Linked DNA regions of Arabidopsis thaliana. The main gene of each other region encodes a partner of the protein of the gene in region 3 in a complex. Each region holds a gene or a part of one and is shown on either strand. Other genes may lie near its edges. The genes, in order: CAF1b, AT1G27890, AT1G31500 and AT1G27820.

The links.
Region 1: AT1G31500 (region 3) and CAF1b share a complex: the UniProt entries of both Arabidopsis thaliana proteins name them as parts of the CCR4-NOT complex.
Region 2: AT1G31500 (region 3) and AT1G27890 share a complex: the UniProt entries of both Arabidopsis thaliana proteins name them as parts of the CCR4-NOT complex.
Region 4: AT1G31500 (region 3) and AT1G27820 share a complex: the UniProt entries of both Arabidopsis thaliana proteins name them as parts of the CCR4-NOT complex.

What each region holds. Positions count from the first base shown.
Region 1 is NC_003076.8:7,364,206-7,368,697, forward strand, and holds CAF1b (Polynucleotidyl transferase, ribonuclease H-like superfamily protein), read right to left. Parts: upstream 2,595-4,492; 5' UTR 2,237-2,594; coding exon 1,400-2,236; 3' UTR 1,272-1,399; downstream 1-1,271. Other genes in the region: OFP10 (Ovate family protein), read left to right, coding at 484-1,074; MS1 (RING/FYVE/PHD zinc finger superfamily protein), read right to left, coding at 3,502-4,492. UniProt on the Arabidopsis thaliana protein: Ubiquitous transcription factor required for a diverse set of processes. It is a component of the CCR4 complex involved in the control of gene expression.
Region 2 is NC_003070.9:9,713,069-9,717,245, forward strand, and holds AT1G27890 (Polynucleotidyl transferase, ribonuclease H-like superfamily protein), read right to left. Parts: upstream 2,109-4,177; 5' UTR 1,977-2,108; coding exon 1,068-1,976; downstream 1-1,067. Other genes in the region: AT1G27880 (DEAD/DEAH box RNA helicase family protein), read left to right, coding at 1-7, 93-262, 416-440, 533-648, 737-833; AT1G27900 (RNA helicase family protein), read right to left, coding at 2,547-2,694, 2,803-2,978, 3,111-3,271, 3,470-3,539, 3,889-4,039, 4,153-4,177. UniProt on the Arabidopsis thaliana protein: Ubiquitous transcription factor required for a diverse set of processes. It is a component of the CCR4 complex involved in the control of gene expression.
Region 3 is NC_003070.9:11,273,102-11,279,652, reverse strand, and holds AT1G31500 (DNAse I-like superfamily protein), read left to right. Parts: upstream 1-3,024; 5' UTR 3,025-3,118; coding exon 3,119-3,174; exon of another isoform or gene 3,175-3,178; intron 3,179-3,471; coding exon 3,472-3,736; intron 3,737-3,923; coding exon 3,924-3,973; intron 3,974-4,301; coding exon 4,302-4,371; intron 4,372-4,587; coding exon 4,588-4,712; intron 4,713-4,799; coding exon 4,800-4,912; intron 4,913-5,056; coding exon 5,057-5,192; intron 5,193-5,269; coding exon 5,270-5,417; coding exon of another isoform or gene 5,418-5,423; exon of another isoform or gene 5,424-5,526; coding exon 5,527-5,832; 3' UTR 5,833-6,051; downstream 6,052-6,551. Other genes in the region: AT1G31520 (uncharacterized protein), read left to right, coding at 14-72, 215-307, 424-670; AT1G31510 (F-box associated ubiquitination effector family protein), read right to left, coding at 1,191-1,372, 1,445-1,504, 1,549-2,236. UniProt on the Arabidopsis thaliana protein: Acts as a catalytic component of the CCR4-NOT core complex, which in the nucleus seems to be a general transcription factor, and in the cytoplasm the major mRNA deadenylase involved in mRNA turnover.
Region 4 is NC_003070.9:9,688,886-9,693,107, forward strand, and holds AT1G27820 (Polynucleotidyl transferase, ribonuclease H-like superfamily protein), read left to right. Parts: upstream 1-2,742; coding exon 2,743-3,675; downstream 3,676-4,222. UniProt on the Arabidopsis thaliana protein: Ubiquitous transcription factor required for a diverse set of processes. It is a component of the CCR4 complex involved in the control of gene expression.

The DNA.
Region 1 (4,492 bases), on a different chromosome or scaffold from region 3:
ACAGTAGCTGCATTGCATTATCATAGAATAGAGATTGCAAAATAAAAGTAGAGAAACCAACCCCTTCGTTGTATTCTTCATTTTTTTTCTTTGTTAGCTTCTCAGGCTTAATATAGAATTAGCCTTAGCCCATTGATTTCTTAATATTGGTCTTGTTCATGTGAAACTGCAAAACCTTTTAGAGTTGTAGACGGGTGCTTAGTAGTTTTACATGCTCCATTTCCGGTTTACCAAAAAGGTAACCAGATCGAAACTAAAACATATTTCCGTTCATCAAAAATCTTGACGAAAACATATTGGTTCGGTTGTGGTTTGAGAGATTTCTTTTTGGTTCAAATCGGTTTCTATGTCCAATCCTTTGATATCACTCGAGATAGTTTCTTACAAATGATATCATATATAACTTTGAATTCACCTCAAGATGGTATTATTTTCCTTAAAAAAGAAATCCATCAAAATTGTGCATCTCCAAAGCAATGAGCAATGCTGAATCTCCAAGCTAAGTTAAATGAAAAAAAGGTTCCTCTTTTAACAAACTTTCCCACACCAACATCCTCACTCAATAATCTCAACTTGTTTTCTCTTCCTCTAGTAAAAAAAAAAATGTCTTTCAAGAAGATGATGAAGTATATACTCAAAACCATATTCAAACCCATTTTTATGGCATGCGGTTGCGGCTCTACCGTTCCACCTTCCTCTCACAGCCACTACACCCCGGGACCACCGGTTTCTCCCACGGTTTTACGCAGCCCATGTCCTAAGATCGATGAGAGCGTCGCGATGGCTAAAGAATCAATCAATCCGTTCGAAGATTACAAGAAGTCGATGAATCAGATGATCGAAGAGAGATATATCGAGACGGAAAGTGAACTTAAGGAGCTTCTAAGGTGTTTCTTGGACATAAACCCTTCTCCTCAACACAATCTCATCGTCCGTGCTTTTGTCGACGTCTGTTCACATCTCCAACCACCACACGACCGACGTGGGAAGTCACTTGGGAGATTGCTTCGTCTATATGTTAACAATCCTCTTGATAACAATGATGATGACTCACACCAAACTTCTTCAAAATGAGGAACTAAATCCTCCTCATATCTCTCTCTATATATAGATGTTACAATATTGTGAATAATTTCAATTTATGATTCCATGACTAGATGTAAACTATTAAACAACACCAACAAAAATCAAAGTTATACCTCAAAGCCTAGCTCTAACGTAACGATAATATTTTACTGCACAAAAAGTTTTGAAGTGTAAATTGGTTAAACAAAACCAAATTGAGTTATTTCGTTTTGGTTTTTGGATTTGGTTAAAACGAGAGATGAATAAGATAATTTCGATTTCGACTGTATAAATGATTAACAAAGATTAATTAAATTAATTAATTATAAATCCCTCAAAAAACCTCTAAACCATACAAAACTCCGGCGTGTTTCTCCGCCCCATCCTCAACGAAATACAAATCCCTCATCCTCTGAAACGCCTGCCACGTCAGCAAACTATCCGAACCGGCTTGATGACATTTCCCAACCGCCCGGTTAACTTCAAGAGACCGAGCAACCCGGTCCAAACCACCATACAATCTCTGCTCACAAAACCTCATAATATGTTTCACATCATAAACCCTATCACCGAAGAAAGCTCTAAGCAACCCTAAAAACTCACGCAACGCCACCGGAAGCTGCCGGCGCGTGAGAATCTTCACAAGGTAACCAAAATCATACGCGCTGTGAAACGTCACCCAGCTCACAGACTCGTTACAGATCAACCCCGATGACATCATCAGCTCCGCGAACCTCTCCGATTCAACACCTTCGCGACGGTTCCGCTCGAAATCGATCCCGTGACGACGGAGTAGCTCGATCGAATCAGGAGCGTGTGGATCACGCTCCACGTCGAAGTCACGGAAATTGAATTCCCAGATGTATCGACGGTTTTTTTGACCGCCGAGATCTGGGAGGTTTCCGTCGGCGTCGGAGAGAGTAAGACCGACTTGGATCAAACTTAAAGCGTCAACGTTGGATTTGAGAAGATTGTAGAGATAATTAGGGTTTCCACGGCGGAGAACGTCGAGATCCGCCTTGTAAATCACGCCGGGAAATTCTGTATCCATTGAGATGAATGGGTAATCTTCGACGATTCCTCTGATTAGGTCAAACTCTGACTCGAGATTATAAGCCCAAACGTCACGAATCACGATCACATCGGAGAGATCTGCTTCTGATTTGATCATAGTTTCAAGTCCCGATCTTTTAGGTCTTCTTCTTCGTTGTGAATTTATCAAAAGTCTGTTTTTTTTTGTTGATTTGGTTAATCTGCAAGGTTTAGTTATATATATGAATGTGAGTAAGAGAGTGTTTACGAGGAAGGAGAGGAGAAGAAGTGTGAGAAACGCGCACGTTTATGATTCAATGTGTTTCTTGACTTAGTCTAAGTTGGCTTCTCCTTCGTGTATCGAATTATTGCAATTCAAGTCGTTGTATTTAAGTAAGTACATTAAGCCGACAAGAATAAGAAGGCCAAGTACATTAAGATTTTCTATTGGTTTTTAAGAGTTGAATAAAACATGTAAACGTTACGACTTACGACCAATGAACTTTATCAGGAATATTGCTATATTACCAATAAACACTGAATATGTAACGACGCACTAAAAACGCATTAAAGGGTTGAATCATTAGATTATGATGATGTCTACACGTATCTGATTGTGCTTTAATGTTTTCACGAAATTGTAGCAACAGCGAAGCCTAGGTTGAGCCCTTTTCAGTTTTCATTGTTCCCTAGTTTACTCATCGAATCTCATGACTTTGTTGGTAGTGTTTAGAAGATTGTTCTTCCAGATTTGGATGTAAGTCCCAATTTCTAGAAACAATATCACAAACGTAGATAGTCCGTGGAGTTTTCCATCTTCAGTCAATATAATAAGAAACTTTTTAGGACGTTGACCTTGAACAGAGTTGTTAAACACATGACTGTTTTTCTTTCATTTCCTTTGTTTGCAATAACTTGATATTGTTCCATGTTAATGAAGAAATAATTTATTAATTCCAAATGCATCAATTGTAAAACTAAATTATTTAAATTATGTAAACCTTCTTTTGTTTGTAATTTTGTTTTTGCATCAATTGTAAGCCTAAATTATTTAAAACACTACACACTTCTTTCTCCGCCTTGTGTTGTGAATTATTTTCTGTTAAAATTTAACTGCCTTTTCTTGGAGACAAGCCTTAAGGTTGTTGTCAAGTAAAACTTGGAATCACGGTTGGAGTAGATGACGTCACATGAGTCATCAGGGGAAGAGGAGAGCGACATGTTGATAATGATATTATTAGAACAGTCAGGCTCCAGAGGAGGCAAGGATATGACTTTGTGATTCAACATGTTGGTGATATAGACGCAGGAGGGATCATTAGAATTCACGTTGATCGAGGAGTATAATTTATGTATTATGACGTAATGATAGAAAAAAAGAAGGTTTAATATAACATGAATGATTTAGGGTAAAAAAGAGAGAGGAATAAGATGTTGATCACAACTTTGACAAAGAAAAATGCGAGGCACTTCCTCATTGTGTTGAACACCAACACACCTTGTGTGTTGCCATACTTCACAAATATCACAACACACCATTCTCTCTCCATCTTCTTCCGTTGCTCCACACTCACACTCTATTCTCTTATCCTTCTTTTTATCATCATCTTCATAACATTTCGTCACTTCAATGTTCATCATCATTCCTACGTTCCCTTCTAACACCAATCCCTTATTCCCATTCAAGGCCATTTCATCGACCCTTGTGATCTCTATTTGACCACCCACCACTGACTCCACCACGACGTCTCTTAGTTCCCAATAGATATCTCTAAACACTCTTTCTGCCTCTCCGTACACTTCACTCAATGTTGCATCTTTCTTCACTACAATGCATTCTTGTGGAGGAACTTTTATCTCGTTGTTATGATGATGACATTTCCACGCGATCGTGCAGAATATTCCTAATTCTTCCCCTCGATCTAAGTGTAACGTTTTCGCCGATGTATCTCTAATGTAGTGATACTCTTTGATGAAGTACTTAGCGTCGAGGATTGCTCTTGAAGCCATTCCGATTTGGTTCAATATACCTCCTATGGGGCCTAACACTCCCTTGTAGTCCATGAGAATGTGTTTGTAAAAATAAAACATGTCTTTCATAACTTGACCTCTTGTGATCTTATTGTGACCGTTTGTCGCCATCTTCCCCATTGAGTTTTGGTTTTGAAGGGTTATGAGTTCATTGTTACTACTTGGTAACAAATTTGATATATCCTCCAAGGAATACTCTAGCACTTTCTTCACCGGATTTAGACTACGTCGGACCAAATAGTTTCCAACCACCTGGTTCCCAAGCGACTTCAACACAAAATCAAGCAAACCAGTGTCCCCAATGTAATTTCTAGCTGCATCCCTCACTTCTTGTCTCGATATCCATCGGTATTCGACTCTTTTC
Region 2 (4,177 bases), 1.6 Mb from region 3:
TTGCAAAGTAAGTTCTTCAATTTGATCTACTGCATAATTTAAGTTCCAACGCTTGTGCTTATATGTAGCAATAATTTTTGCTTCTGATATAGGTGAGAAAACTGGATATTATGTCTAGTGCAGCTGTGGCTGCGATTAGTGTCTCTAACACTTCAGAACTGAGTTCTGGTGCCAAGCAAACTCGGAGCCTGCAAAGCAGAATCTTTGATTACTTCAATGGTGATGAAAAGTGTGACAGTCCGAGCAAGGCTACTCAAAATTGGTACTAACAAAATATTTTACTTGTTTTCATAGATTCCAAATTTCGATTATTGCATAGCGAATAAGGAAATATAAAACTGCGGTTGTTACATATTATTTGTTTGTCAAAGTCATCTTTCCATTAAATTGATCAACGCTTGTATTGTGGATGCAGCGCCTTTCTACGAGCAGACATAAAGGTGAAGATCCAAGAAGCCACACTGTTGTTCATACTTTATTGTTTTGCCATGTATCCAAAGAATGTCCAGTTAACTATTGTGTGTCAAAACAGGTGTTTTTGCAGAGTAATCGCCAAGCCAAATTCACACCAAGAGCCATCGCGAGAATAATGCACGGAGTTGGAAGTCCAGCTTTTCCGAATTCAGTCTGGTCCAAGACTCATTTCTGGTATATTCATCATCATCAGCTAAACCAAGCCATGCAAGTTATTGTTTGGTGATGGTACATGTGATTTAATTGAAATATGGCTTTGCAGGGGAAGGTATATGAACGTAGACTTCCGAGTGATAATGGAAGCGGCACAAACAGAGTTGTTCAATTTTGTTGACAGGAACGCAGCTTTAGCTACATAACATAAGATTAGAGGCTTTGAGTAGATTCTTAGGATATTTAAATTTATTTGTATTGTATTCTAGATTCATTGAAAGTATCCAGTAAAGAGAAATTGTGTCATATGAGAGTTGAGAGAATTGTTTTGATCGACAAGAAAAGATGAAAGTTAATCTTTAGTATTTAAAGAAACATCTGATAAAACTAGAAATTATACATAATAGCAGAGCAAGTCATGTTAAACAAACATTCAGGCATCACAAAACGTAGTTCCTTCCTTGGACCGGCATCCCAAAGTAACCACCACCAAAATACGGGTTCGGGTGATGAGCAGCAAACATCACCGATCTCGGTCTCGGTATAGGTATCGGTATTGGGATGTAACATCTAGTCATCATAAGCTGCTGCTGCTCTAGTTGATATTGCTGATGATCAACTCGTCTTACACACTGCTTTCTACTATTGAGCAAATCGAAAGTCAACTTAGTGAAGACACGAGCCGTCAATTCACTGTCTGAGCCAGCGTGATGAGCTTTTCCAACACGTTTCATCTGCAACACATCAGCTATTCTCTGTAGTCCGAATCGGCTACTTAGTCCGCTGCATGATTCAGCGATTTTCTTTACGTCAAAAACAAACTTTCCCAAAAGCTGCTCGACGGTCTCGTGAAACTCTTCCTTAGTCTCCGGTAACGGTTTCCCTCCCGTTAAGCCTTTAACGAGATAAGCATTGTCGTAAGAGCCTTGAAAATTCACCCAAGTTATCTTTCCGTCCTTCTCCTTGAGAATCTGAGAAAAGTCTCTAAAGAATTCTTCGATTCCAATACCTTCCTCTCCGATCTTGTCCAGATTGAGACCATTGCTTTTGAGAAAAGCTATGGACTTATCGTTTTTGAAGCACTTATGTTCGTTGAAATCTGACAAGTTTATTTCCCAGGTTTTAGTGATTCCTCTTCTGTCGAATAGCGTGAAACCTAACTGGATGAGATGGGTGTTGTCCACATTGAACTTCATGTCTCTGTAACGAATTTCCTCACTCGCGTCCATCGGAGTCTCCTTTAAGCATCCGGGAAACTCTGTGTCGATAGCGATGGAACTAAAATGTTTCAAACAATCTCTTATCGAATCCATCTCTACTTCCTTGTTCCATCTCCAAACTTCACCCATCTCTCTCGGATTTTGAAGACTGAAACAGTTTGTTTATCTGAAATACTAATCTCTCTCTCTATCTGATTTCGGAGACTCGAATACTAATAGCAGTGGGAGTTTCCTTTTTTCTTACGTCGCCGGAAAGTTTCCATTTTTTTCCAGTCAAAAAGTTCGTGTTGACTTTTATCACTCCTAATTTAATTCTTGTTGGACACGAGATTTCCATTTTCCTCTCAAAAGCCCAAAATAAGAGAAGCCTGTTTCCGAAGCGGTTTACAATTTTAATACTAAACCGAATTAAATCACTAAACCGAAGTCTGACTAATACCAAAACCTTTTTCTTTTCTTTTTTCGTGTAAACATTATCATCTTTTAAACATAATACTAAGAACATACCAAATTGGGTTAAAAATTTAAAACTCATGTCGAATGAGAATAAAGAAAAGTTTAAGTTGAGCCAAAAAAAAAAAAAACAGAACATACAAAATTTGAAAATTGTCTCTAATAACAAATCTTCTACAGAAAGCTTCTCTTTTCTATTCTTTATAGGGCTAGTTGAATCTTGTATTTATGTTTGAGACATCAAATTTATTTCTGTCCTTTACGAGCAAGAAAGCGTTCTCTGGCTGCTTCAATCCGACTCTCAACATTTTCAGAAACTGCAGGTGTTTCTGCATTGTTTTTAGACAACTCCGTCTTCTCCTCAGGTACTTTGAAAGAGGGAGCCGGTCCACCGCTACATGGCAGATTAAATGATACCGATCAATTACTGAATCCAAGACCAGACAAGAAAAAGCTAGAACAAGACTGGATTGAACTAGTAAAGAGTAATGTTTGTTTTTACCTCAATTTTCTGACATTTAATTTCTCGATCTTTCTTTTGATGGGAGCCACCCATGCCATATCTACTGCACAAACATTCCGCATGAACGGACGTGTGGTGGAAATCAGCTCATGGTACACTACGTAGTTAGGCATCATTCCGTCATTGTCGGCACTCAATACAGATGATGGATGCACCTAGAATCAACCAAAAACGTCAATATGTCGATGATCATACGAAACTGGAAATGCTTACATATCTGAGCTACTGATGTAATAGAAAATCTAACACTGTAACAGATAAATGAGACTTGGATTGAGAAGTAATGCCTGGACTAGCTGGGACTGGAAACTAAGAGTCCGGTATCCATTGTGACGAAGCATTCTCTCAGCAATTTGGTTTGCATTACCAACGCATAGAGCTTTCCTCAACTTCCTGTAGTCGTCTCGGCTTGAACTCTTCCTACCATCTGCCCCAACTTCCAATCGATCTAGTTTGTCAAGGAGACCAAATATTTTAGTGACGGTTGGTTAGGTATGACACAGCCACCTATCACATCTCACAAGATAAAAGAGTGATGTTGACATAAACTCTGGTTCTGTTGGAGGCATAACCATTTAGGGTGAAAGCCATAGAGAAATAATTATATATTCTTTCACGGAATCTTCTTGTCATGAAACAATCTAACCTTTGGATATTTTCTGCATAATCTGACATAACTGTCTTCTAACATCTTTGACAAACACCATCCCTCGCACCTGCAAATTATTTTTCAACAAAAGTTATCTTTCTTATTGGCATAAGGAACCCACGTAATAATGTACCGAAATAGACTATCTAAACAAAGGTAGTAAATTTCAGTAACTCCCATAATTGTTGGTTATAAAACTGTATGAAGCAGAAAATACAAACATTGACGCCCATCGGAGTCAGGTCTCAACAATGAAGGGATTTTCTATGCTATATAGATTGTATTAACTGCAGAGACAGCATATAACTGACCACCTTCTGAAGTAACAATGCAGTAAGGCTTTTGATGTCACCATGCTTTTCACTTGGAATACTCGAGAATAGATAAGGAAGGAAGGAAGAAAATGGAACAATTACCTGCATGCCGTTCTCTTTGCACCATACAGGATCATAATTAGTACGGTCCCAAGATTCGAAAATCTGTAGCAGTTGAATGTGATCACCATATCCGGATCCATTAGGAAGATTAGAATCTTCATCATGTTTCCTCTTCTTTTCACTGGGTTTACTATCATGCAAGCAAAAACCATAAAGACAAGAGTTGACGCATCTGTATCTAGTCAATGTGATTTTAAACATTTCACAATCTGACCCAGGTTATTGTATATCGTAAAAACTAACCTCCTAGCAGGAAGAAGAGTTGTCT
Region 3 (6,551 bases):
GGGATGGATACAAATGACTCTTGCGGCTTGCATGCAAGAAGCTGACCAGCTTCAACACTGGAGAGAGAAATGGTTATTGATTCATAGCGACTCCATTAAACCAAGAAGATACGCTAGCTGAGAGGAAGGACGAAGAAGAAATCTAGCCTCCGGTTTCATTCATGGAGCATTTCTTGAGTACACACCAACTCAAAATACATTAGACGTATCACAGTTGGCGACCATTCTTTAGAGTTGACGAAGAGATTTTGAACATCCATAATGAGCAGCTTGGGATTAATGAAGATCATCTCCATGGAGCTCAAAGGTAATATCTCTACTCATAATTGTTTCTCCTCTGTTTGTTACTTTTTGTTTTGTACGTGTTTTGCCATGTTCGATCTAGTTGTTGACTTTGGGTTGGTTCGTTATTATTTTTACTAGTATACATGTTGCATCAAACATTCGAGCAAGAAAAGTCTTCGAGTTCCCTTATCTTCAGACGTCCATGAAGCCAGAAGATGCTGGTGTGGATGCTATTCTCTCAAAGTTCAATATCATGATCTATAGCTACAAAGATGCTGCATACCCCTTTAGGATGGTACCTCCCATTGTTTACGCTCACCTCGCCATTCTCCGAGTAAACGCCGGAGACCTCACTAGCAGTGATACATGGCGTTTATATATGTAGAAGTTATAATTCAGATGGTTTCTTAAGATAAGAGAAAAGCACTTTTCATCTATGAAACAACTCTTTTTAAACAACATTCCTTCCCTTGTATTTTTTTTTGTTAAAGATTCTTCTCTTGTATTTTCCCATACTTATTCAAAATCTCTCCAAAATATTAATGTAGAGTTTACTTTTTGTCATATCCAGAAATAACTATACCAAGTAAATAAGTAGAATATATGACGAGAACGTATACAATTTATGCAATAAAGAGATTAAGCTTGGGGAATAAGGAACCACGGATGCATAAAGACCTCGAATATCAAATCATGATCTTATATTACGAGACACCGAAAGCGAGTGATCATTTGCTCATTGGCATTGAGTTCAGATCCGCCGAAGCAATAATATGAACATAGAAATAATCAAAATAAAAAACCATATTTGTATGCATAAATATTGTTTCCCACTTTTTTCGAACCAGATTCAAACTCTTATGAAGTTATCCCACTATGTTTATAGAGTTCGAAAGTAAAGACCATTATAAACATGAAAGAAGATAACCATTTAACTCGTAGCAATGGATCGGAGCACGCTTATTCTTCTTCCTCTTAATTACCTCGAAAAGCCTGGAACCGGAAGTAAGCTTGGGACATATATAGTAGCAACCAGGACCACCAATTGAAGACTCCATAGAAGAGTAACATTCAACTTTCGGGCATTCTTATGTCTCTCCCACAACGTAGATGCTAATTGACCTAGTTACAAAGTGACGAATATATAGCAGAATCTTACCATTGTTCTCAATGAAGTGACTTGGATATATTGGAAACTTGGGAAGTTGAGCTATAGAAACTGTCATTAACCTACTCCAATGCTTCTTCATCAGTATATCTTACCTGCTAAGTGCGGTTCACGTAACAAAGAAAGATGATCTCCACGGAAAATCCCTAAAGAAAGAGAATCTTTCCACTGGATCCCGATGGATGAGTGATGAAGAGACTCGAACAAGGTCTCAAATCTCTCTTTTGAGAAATCGAAACTTTGTATCGAAACGGTACCGTAGATATTATAACCTATCCAATAAGGAGTTCCTCCTATACACACACTTGACAATGGTAGTCGAAAGAACCCATGGAAGGTTTTATCAACAACAACAACCTTCCAACAATCAGATTTGAAATCGTAGATTTCAACACTTAAATTATTAGGACACCGAAACCTAACCATTTTGTAATCATTACAACCACTTGGTGACTCGTTACTAATGTATCCAAGACCATATGCATCGATGGAATGGTCAAACTCAAAGCTATAGCCACATTTGATCCATCTTGCTTCTTTCAACAACGGATTGGAAACTAAAATTTTGGTTCCCATGACCATTAGCAATAGACCATCACAATGAAACATGTTGTGCTCCAATAAATCCGAAGATGAAAGCGGTTTAAAAACCTGAAAATTTAAACTAGGTTTGTTGTTGAAATCCATACCGATACAAGAAATTGTTGAGCACAATGGAGAAACTGTGGCCGGAACGTAATTGAAGACTGTGAATATCGGTTCAAGACCATGCATGTGAGACATGTGCTTGTTGACGAATATCGGTTCTGTGATTAGTGTTTTCCATTGCTTGCATGTCCTCTACCAAATTAGTTTGTAGTATGTCCTTTACCAAATTAGTTTGTAGTATTATATTTGGGTTTGTTATTTTCAATTTAGGGTATATATTTTTATTATTAAAAACTTTTTTGATTCAATTTAATATTAGATTAATGTTTGCTCTCATTTTTATTTGGGGGATTGATACAAATAGTAATAAAAAAAACTTTATTATTTAATTAATTTATAGAGGATTAAAAATTTTATATGCTATTTTGGAAATTTCAAAAAAAAGGTGTCATTTTTTGGAATAATAAAGTTTTTTAGTGTCATTTACGTCAATCCCCTTGTTATATTAATATTGGTGTGAAGCTTTTTGGGAAATATATCTATAATTTCTCATCTTATAAAGTTTTATGCTCAAGTGAGTGTTAGTATGGAAATTTTTAATTCGCAATAGTGTATATTGGTCCGTAATGGTGAATTAGTTAAATATCGATTAATTAGATTTTAGTCTGGTACACAACCATTTATAGACTAAATATCTGACAGTAAATGATTTAGAAACTCATACTAACTTATATAGTTATATATATAGGTGCTTTGGGAATTTTTGAAAATTTTGGGTTTTGGATTTTGACGTTGATTTCGATTGGATTTTTATTTGTTGGAAAGTAAATGAACCTACTAATGACCTATTTTTGGTTCTAAAGTTCCAATAAATAAAATGAAGGCTCACTAACTACTTTAATATAAAGACAGGGAGCAAATGATAATTATCGAATTCTTCACTATTTTATTTGAAAACCCACAAGAGTTTCTTCAATCTAAAGCCAAATTGGGTTAAGTCAATTGTTGTCACTATAGATGTTTAGTTCTACAACTCTGCATCATCTTCCTCGTCCGAATCTTCTTCTTCCCAGGTGGGTTTCTTCGTTTCTGTATCAATCAATATACAGTTTCATTTTCTGTAATCTCAAGTTTCGTATTTAGTAATGCAACTAAATTGATCGTCTCTGTTCATTGTCATTGGGCAATTTCGTTGAGGAATACAATTTGTTTAGAAATTTCTCATCTTTATATTGGAACCAATCCTCTAGAATCTCGAATTTATCTGGGCTGTAATTGAAATTTTATGGGGAATTAAATCAGCTTCTTAATTTTGACCTAAATATTGATGTTCAAGGATTGTTTTTTTTCCTGACCCTTTGATTCAACAGCTCTCGTGTCTGCAGGAAAGTTATTTCGAGAAGAATGAGTACGAATCCTGCAATTGAACCAAAAGTTCGCAAATTTGAATCTGTTGAAGGAGTTGATATTGGTTCAAGAAATAAATCCGATGGTTTTTTTGCTATTCCTCTTTACTTATCAAAGCTTGTGGCTTTATATAACTGTATAAGTTTAAGTAGAATTGGTACTAGTAATGAGAATTTTGTGTTTTCAGGTATCAGATTCCGTCTTGTTTCATATAACATATTAGCTCAGGTAAGAAATAATCAAGCTTTTTAATCTCTCATATGCTTTGTGATATTTTGTAGCTTAATATTTGGACGAATTTTGTAGTTTTAAACGATCTTACGAATTTCTGAGCTTGATTTATAGATACAGACAGTTCTTTTAGCTCTTTCCTTTGTTGAGTTTCTTATCTATTTGAGCTTTATATTTCTTGTAGGTTTATGTGAAGAGTGCACTTCTCCCACACTCTCCACCTGCCTGTCTCAAGTAATTATTTTTCTCTACATTTCTCAGTTTCGAGATCAAATTTACTTATACTAGTCAAGAGTTCTTTCTGTGAGTTGTGTAATCAATGGCCTGGAGTATAGTCAAGATTTGCTTCAGAAAACAACAATGGATTCTATGAATGTTTAGGAACTTAGCTATAAGCAGGCAATATTGTGTTTGGTCTTACCCACGTTAATTATCCATTACCCAATATGTACTTTGGATTTAGCGATATATTAACTTTGTTAAAATATTAGGGAATGGTGCTTCTTAAAGGGTTATGGTTTTGTAGTAAATGTGACTTGGTCTTCCTTTTCTTGTGTTGCAGATGGAAAGCTCGTTCACATGCAATTCTCAGCGTTCTCAAAAATCTCCAGGCTGATTTCTTTTGTCTGCAGGTACTTTATTCTTGTGAAAACTTCTTCTTTTGTGTTTAGGTAGTATTGAGATACCCTTTTCGTATGAAACACAAAATTCATTCTTCTCTTTTGTTCAATCCATTAGACAAGCTCAGGCCTGTAAAAATGTTAGTGTTGTTTGTTCATAGGGCCTTTGAATTGTGTTTAACAAAAGGGTGTCTCCACTTGTTAGTTATATAGTTGCAATGCTCGCAGGAAGTAGATGAGTACGATAGCTTTTACAGAAATAACATGGACTCTCTGGGATATTCTGGGATTTATATTCAGAGAACCGGCCAGAGGAAGCGTGATGGTTGTGCAATCTTCTACAAGCCAAGCTGGTATGATAAAAACATTAAGCCTGACAAGACGTTAACTTAATGCAAAAACATCAATCTGATTGAAACAACACTCTTCTTTTGATTTAGTGCAGAGTTAGTCACAAAGGAACGGATCGAATATAATGATCTTGTGGACTCAATAAAAGCAGATAGTGTTTCCTGCAGCGAACAGAAGATTGAGACATCCAACGAAGGAAAAGGTGATGAGAAAGCGAAAGATAAATTTGTCCTTTTGGAGGAAAAGAAAGCAAATACTTTGTGCTGTTTCTTTATATCTCAACATCATTACTAACTTTTATCTATGTTCTCTTCACATGTTTCCACAAATCTGCCCCAAACAAAAGATTCTCGAAAAGACAGTCGTGACCTTAATGATCCACTAGTGAGACTAAAACGTGATTGCGTTGGAATAATGGCTGCTTTTAGGATCAACAAGCCGTTTCAGCATATCGTTATCGTGGCAAACACACATCTTTACTGGTAAAAATACTTGTCACCGATTGAAGATTATCTTTTACCACCCTTTAAACTTTCATCTCATGTTTACTTATCTCTAGGGACCCTGAATTGGCTGATGTCAAGCTTGCTCAAGCCAAGTATCTACTGTCACGACTAGCTCAGTTCAAAACACTAATATCAGATGAATTTGAGTGCACACCTTCATTGCTACTAGCTGGCGACTTCAATTCAATTCCTGGGGATATGGTTTGATTCAGTTTCTTACATTGAGTTTCCCTAATTGTTCAATCTATTTGCAAAATCAAAAGATTGGGTTTACGGTGGTAAAATCCTGATACTTGTCGTCGTTTTCCAGGTTTATAGTTACCTAGTATCGGGTAATGCTAAACCCACAGAGACCATAGAAGAAGAAGAAGCTCCAGTTCCTCTGTCTAGTGTCTATGAAGTCACAAGAGGAGAGCCTAAGTTCACAAATTGCACTCCTGGCTTCACAAACACACTTGACTACATCTTCATCTCTCCTTCAGACTTCATTAAACCTGTGAGTATCCTTCAACTACCTGAGCCGGATTCTCCAGATGTTGTCGGTTTCTTACCGAATCATCATCACCCGAGTGATCATTTACCTATAGGAGCTGAGTTTGAGATTCGTCGGGAATAGGAAGTTTCGTTCTTTAGAAAGTTTTGTCGCATAACTCCATTGTTTCAGCATTTGAATATGGTTCTTGTAGAAATCATGAAGCAGTGAATCATACACACACAACACAAAGTATTAAAGGACTTGGATCATTTTTGTCTCAATAAACTCGAAATTTTCGTTGTGTGCATTGAATTACTGAGAATATTTGAATTTTCTTGAGAAGAAATTGTTTAATGTGTCTTGTTTATTGCACTCATAAAATAACATAAGAATTGGTTCTATTATTCTGTAGTCAACTAGACAAAAACAATAGAAGATTTAGTGAAATGACATGTTAATATCATATGATGATCTCGTTTCAATTTGTTGAATAAAGTTGCAACAAAATTAGGTCAAGCATTGATCTGTTTTATCTATCAACCACTAAAGTTTGTACTATCGCACCAACTTATAATAATAAATCATAATTTTGAGTACGAACGAATATTCTTTTACAGTCTCACCTTTCACCGATAATTTGAACCATTGTTATTGAATAAAGTCGTACTCTTCAAACTTTTATCCAAAATGACAGTGATGTAATGTTATGTTCCAAAAACATAAGATTTTTTCAAAACGGATAGTGATCATTCCTTTGAATATATAATCACAAACAACCGAACAAAAATATTATATTTTCTATGCTTATTATATGTTCTTATAAATAAATATCATTTAGCATAAGCTTCCCTTGAGAACCT
Region 4 (4,222 bases), 1.6 Mb from region 3:
CCATCATCTTCTGGGGTATAGTGTAGGTGTGTTATTGTACCCGGATTAGCTAATTGGAGAAGATACAGATAGGTCGGCAAAAACCTGTAATTTGCTATCTCATCCCCCCGTACATTTTCCACTGCAACCTCTTTTGCTCTCCAAGCGGTAGAATATGAAATACGCACATTCAGATCATTTAGGAGCAGCTGTGGTAAGTCGACAGCTCGCGGCCCACCCTGCGTAGAACTGTATATGCTCCTCACAACTTCTCCGAGGAGCTTATAATTAGCATGTTTATTGTAGTTCTTCCGAGAGTCGATGTTACACGTATGTGTCGTAGCATACGAAGTGATTTTGAAATTTCTGAATCCTTCACGACGCGAGCAGTCAATTGCCATGGACAAGTCTCATCAACGCACACCATCTTCAATGTTTTAGGACATGACTTAGGTTGCTTGAAGCAAAAGCATTGCTTTATCGCTTGAAGAGACATTGTTTGTTGCAGGACTTTTCTATTCTTAAAAACACTTCCAACAAACAAAGTTTCGCCTGTGGTGCTGATTTCAACCTGTGTCTCATCAGCTCAAAAATTGAGTAAGTCATCGAACACAGGAGCAGCATCGTTACCGAGATTCGCCAACTCGCCACCATGTAACTTAGGAAATTCATTATACACTTGGTAAGCCTCAGCTGCGGTAACTACCCCATTATCATTTTGTGTCCCAGTTGAGGAAGCTCCAATACCTTCGATCACTTCATCCCTGGTGACTTCGTCTATACAAATAAGATTGGAATCCCTTTGCCCTTCGCAGCGTGTACCGTAACCCAATGGAGAGATTGTTTCTTCGCCAGGTACACTAAGACCAGTGTACGTACACGTTTCCAAGAGACGACTGAATTCCCCTGTATCTCCGCTAGGTACACTAACACCCGTGTACGTACACGTTTCCAATAAACGACTGAATTTCCCTGGATGTTGAGCAGTCTGTTGAGTGAGACTGACGTCTTCCTCAAGATTTCCTTGTACATATTCTTCTACTATTACATCGTTCCACTTGTTGTAATCGTATTCTTCGCCAATACCTTCACTACCGTCTGTGGTAGGATACAGGGTACTTCCCCCAATAGATCCATCCACACCAAGATAATCATCACACCCATCATCATCTTCGTTGCCCTCCTCCAATTCATCCGCTTCTGTTGTATCGTCTTCAACATCGGCTTGCTCCTCTGCATCCTCATTATTTTCATCAACATTTGTAGCACTATCAAACACACGGTCACTTTCAGAAACTTCACCATGAGACCTAGAGACAGTATTCCCGAACGCCTTCACTGTATTATTGAAAGAGACGAACAAGTTGAGAGAAAGATACCCACCACGAACCAAAAAAAACGTCTCGAGACCCATCTGACTGTCAATGTATACAGGAGGGCGTTTAGTATCTATCAGCACTGACATTTCACCCGGCATCCAGTAGCTAATTATGGGATTGATCTCGGTGGACTTCAAACTGAAAGCCTCTCGGAGTGTACGGACAAAGTCCGTGTACGTCATGGTTTCCTGAACGCGTACACAACGACCAAAGATGCCTTCCTCAGGTTCAAATTTCCATTCTCCTTCTTTGCATTTCCACTCACCGACCATGGTAAATACGGGAATATCCATAACCCACCTGCATCATAAATTCAGGAGACACACATTAAATGCAACTGAAAAATACTATACATATAAAAAACAAATGGAATGTCGATACTACACATTTATAAACCTAAATACCAATTATCATTTGACTATTTTAAACAAACAAATATAGATTTTGCAAATATTCTGATAAAAAAATGGAGTTCGAACACAATCAAGATCCTAATATGACATAAAAAAAACTTCTTAAAAGAACTTCATTACTTACACGAGCAATGCTCCAAACTTGGTACAAAAACAAGATCAACACTTCTTCAGCAGCAATGTACGTTCGCAATAATTCTTTGTTCCTGGGTTCATCTTCTTCATCTCAACAAATTTTTTTTTAATTATTATTAATAATTTTTTTAATATTATTTGATGTAATGATGATTTTGCATTAATTGTGACAATAGTCACATCTAAACTTTTTGGGGGCATTAAATGTTGATGTCACTTCGGAATAATCTCACTTGTAACGGAACCGAATCGCGTCAACGTGAACAAAAAATCTTCAACTGAACCGGAACAGTGTACGTAACTAAACCTGCTAAACTAAACCGTACATTTCAACAGTTGCTAAGAGAGAAACGCAAGGGCAGAAACGTCATTTTGCAGGCGAAAAGACAAATGGTGAAAACCACATTTGACTTTGACAATCCATGGAAATAAAACATGGTCAACGGATGTGGCCTGCAATTTACCCTATTTTCTATTCACAGTAAAAAATGATTATAAAGTTATTAAAATCTATTTAAACAAATATCTAGTTGCTCTATATAAAATATACATAATTATGTGCGAAAAACAATCACCGCACTAAGTTAGTTTTTTTTTTTTCTTTGGCTTTTAAGAGAAAAATGGAAATTCTCGTGTTTAACAAGAATTAGGAGAAACAAAAAGGAAATTTTGTGTTGTGCCTTAAAAAAAAAAGGAAACTGAAGTCTGTGTTACTCTACATAATCTAATCTCCTCTAACAACAATCCTAATAACCAAACGAAAATAAATTCAGGTGGCTTCTCGCTTTTCTCTTTCAGAAAAACAAACGTTTTTTTCTTTCGTAGTTTCGTTCGAGATGAAGCAAATTAGTAGCGGTGAAGTTTGGAGATGGAACAAGGAAGTAGAGATGAATTCGATAAGAGATTGTTTGAAACATTGTAGTTCCATCGCTATCGACACAGAGTTTCCCGGATGCTTAAAGGAGACTCCGATGGACGCGAGTGAGGAAATTCGTTACAGAGACATGAAGTTCAATGTGGACAACACCCATCTCATCCAGTTAGGTTTCACGCTATTCGACAGAAGAGGATTCGCTAAAACCTGGGAAATAAACTTGTCAGATTTCGACGAACATAAGTGCTTCAAAAACGATAAGTCCATTGCGTTTCTGAAAAGCAATGGTCTCAATCTGGACAAGATCAGAGAGGAAGGTATTGGAATCGATGAATTCTTTAGAGACTTTTCTCAGATTCTCACGGAGAAGGACGGAAAGATAACTTGGGTGAATTTTCAAGGCTCTTACGACAATGCTTATCTCGTTAAAGGCTTAACGGGAGGGAAACCGTTACCGGAGACTAAGGAAGAGTTTCACGAGACCGTCCAGCAGCTTTTGGGAAAGTTTGTTTTTGACGTAAAGAAAATCGCTGAATCATGCAGCGGACTAAGTAGCCAATTCGGACTACAGAGAATAGCTGATGTGTTGCAGATGAAACGTGTTGGAAAAGCTCATCACGCTGGCTCAGACAGTGAATTGACGGCTCGTGTCTTCACTAAGTTGACTTTCGATTTGCTTAATAGTAGAAAGCAGAGTGTAAGACGAGTTGATCATCAGCAATTTCAACTAGAGCAGCAACAGCATCAGCAGTTTATGATGACTAGATGTTACATCCCGATACCGATGCCGATACCGAGACCGAGACCGGTGATGTTTGCTGCTCATCACCAGAACCCGTATTTTGGTGGTGGTTACTTTAGGATGCCGGTCCAAGGAATGAACTATGTTTTGTGATCCCTGAATGTTTGTTTAACATGACTTGCTCTGCTATTATGTATAATTTCTAGTTTTATCAGATGTTTCTTTAAATACTAAAGATTAACTTTCATCTTTTCTTGTCGATCAAAACAATTCTCTTAACTCTCATATGACACAATTTCTCTTTACTGGATACTTTTAATGAATCTAAAAAGTTAGAATACAGTACAAATAAATTTAAATATCTTAGAATCTACTCAAAGCCTCTAATCTTATGTTATGTAGCTAAAGCTGCGTTCCTGTCAACAAAATTGAACAACTCTGTTTGTGCCGCTTCCATTTTCACACGGAAGTCTACGCACATGAGCTATAAACCACGCGGTATTTATTAAGTTGCCAACTTGGTCATTTACAAAAAGTCGAATAGGCTGCAACTACATTCTGCAAATTTTGTAAAGGGTGAAACTACCCAGTAAAAGAACTGTGTTCAAATAGATTTTTATTATTTTACTTTTACACTTTGACGTAGTTATCTTTAGTTACAAATTTATGGTCTTCGCCGAATAAAGAGATTCGTTTTGGT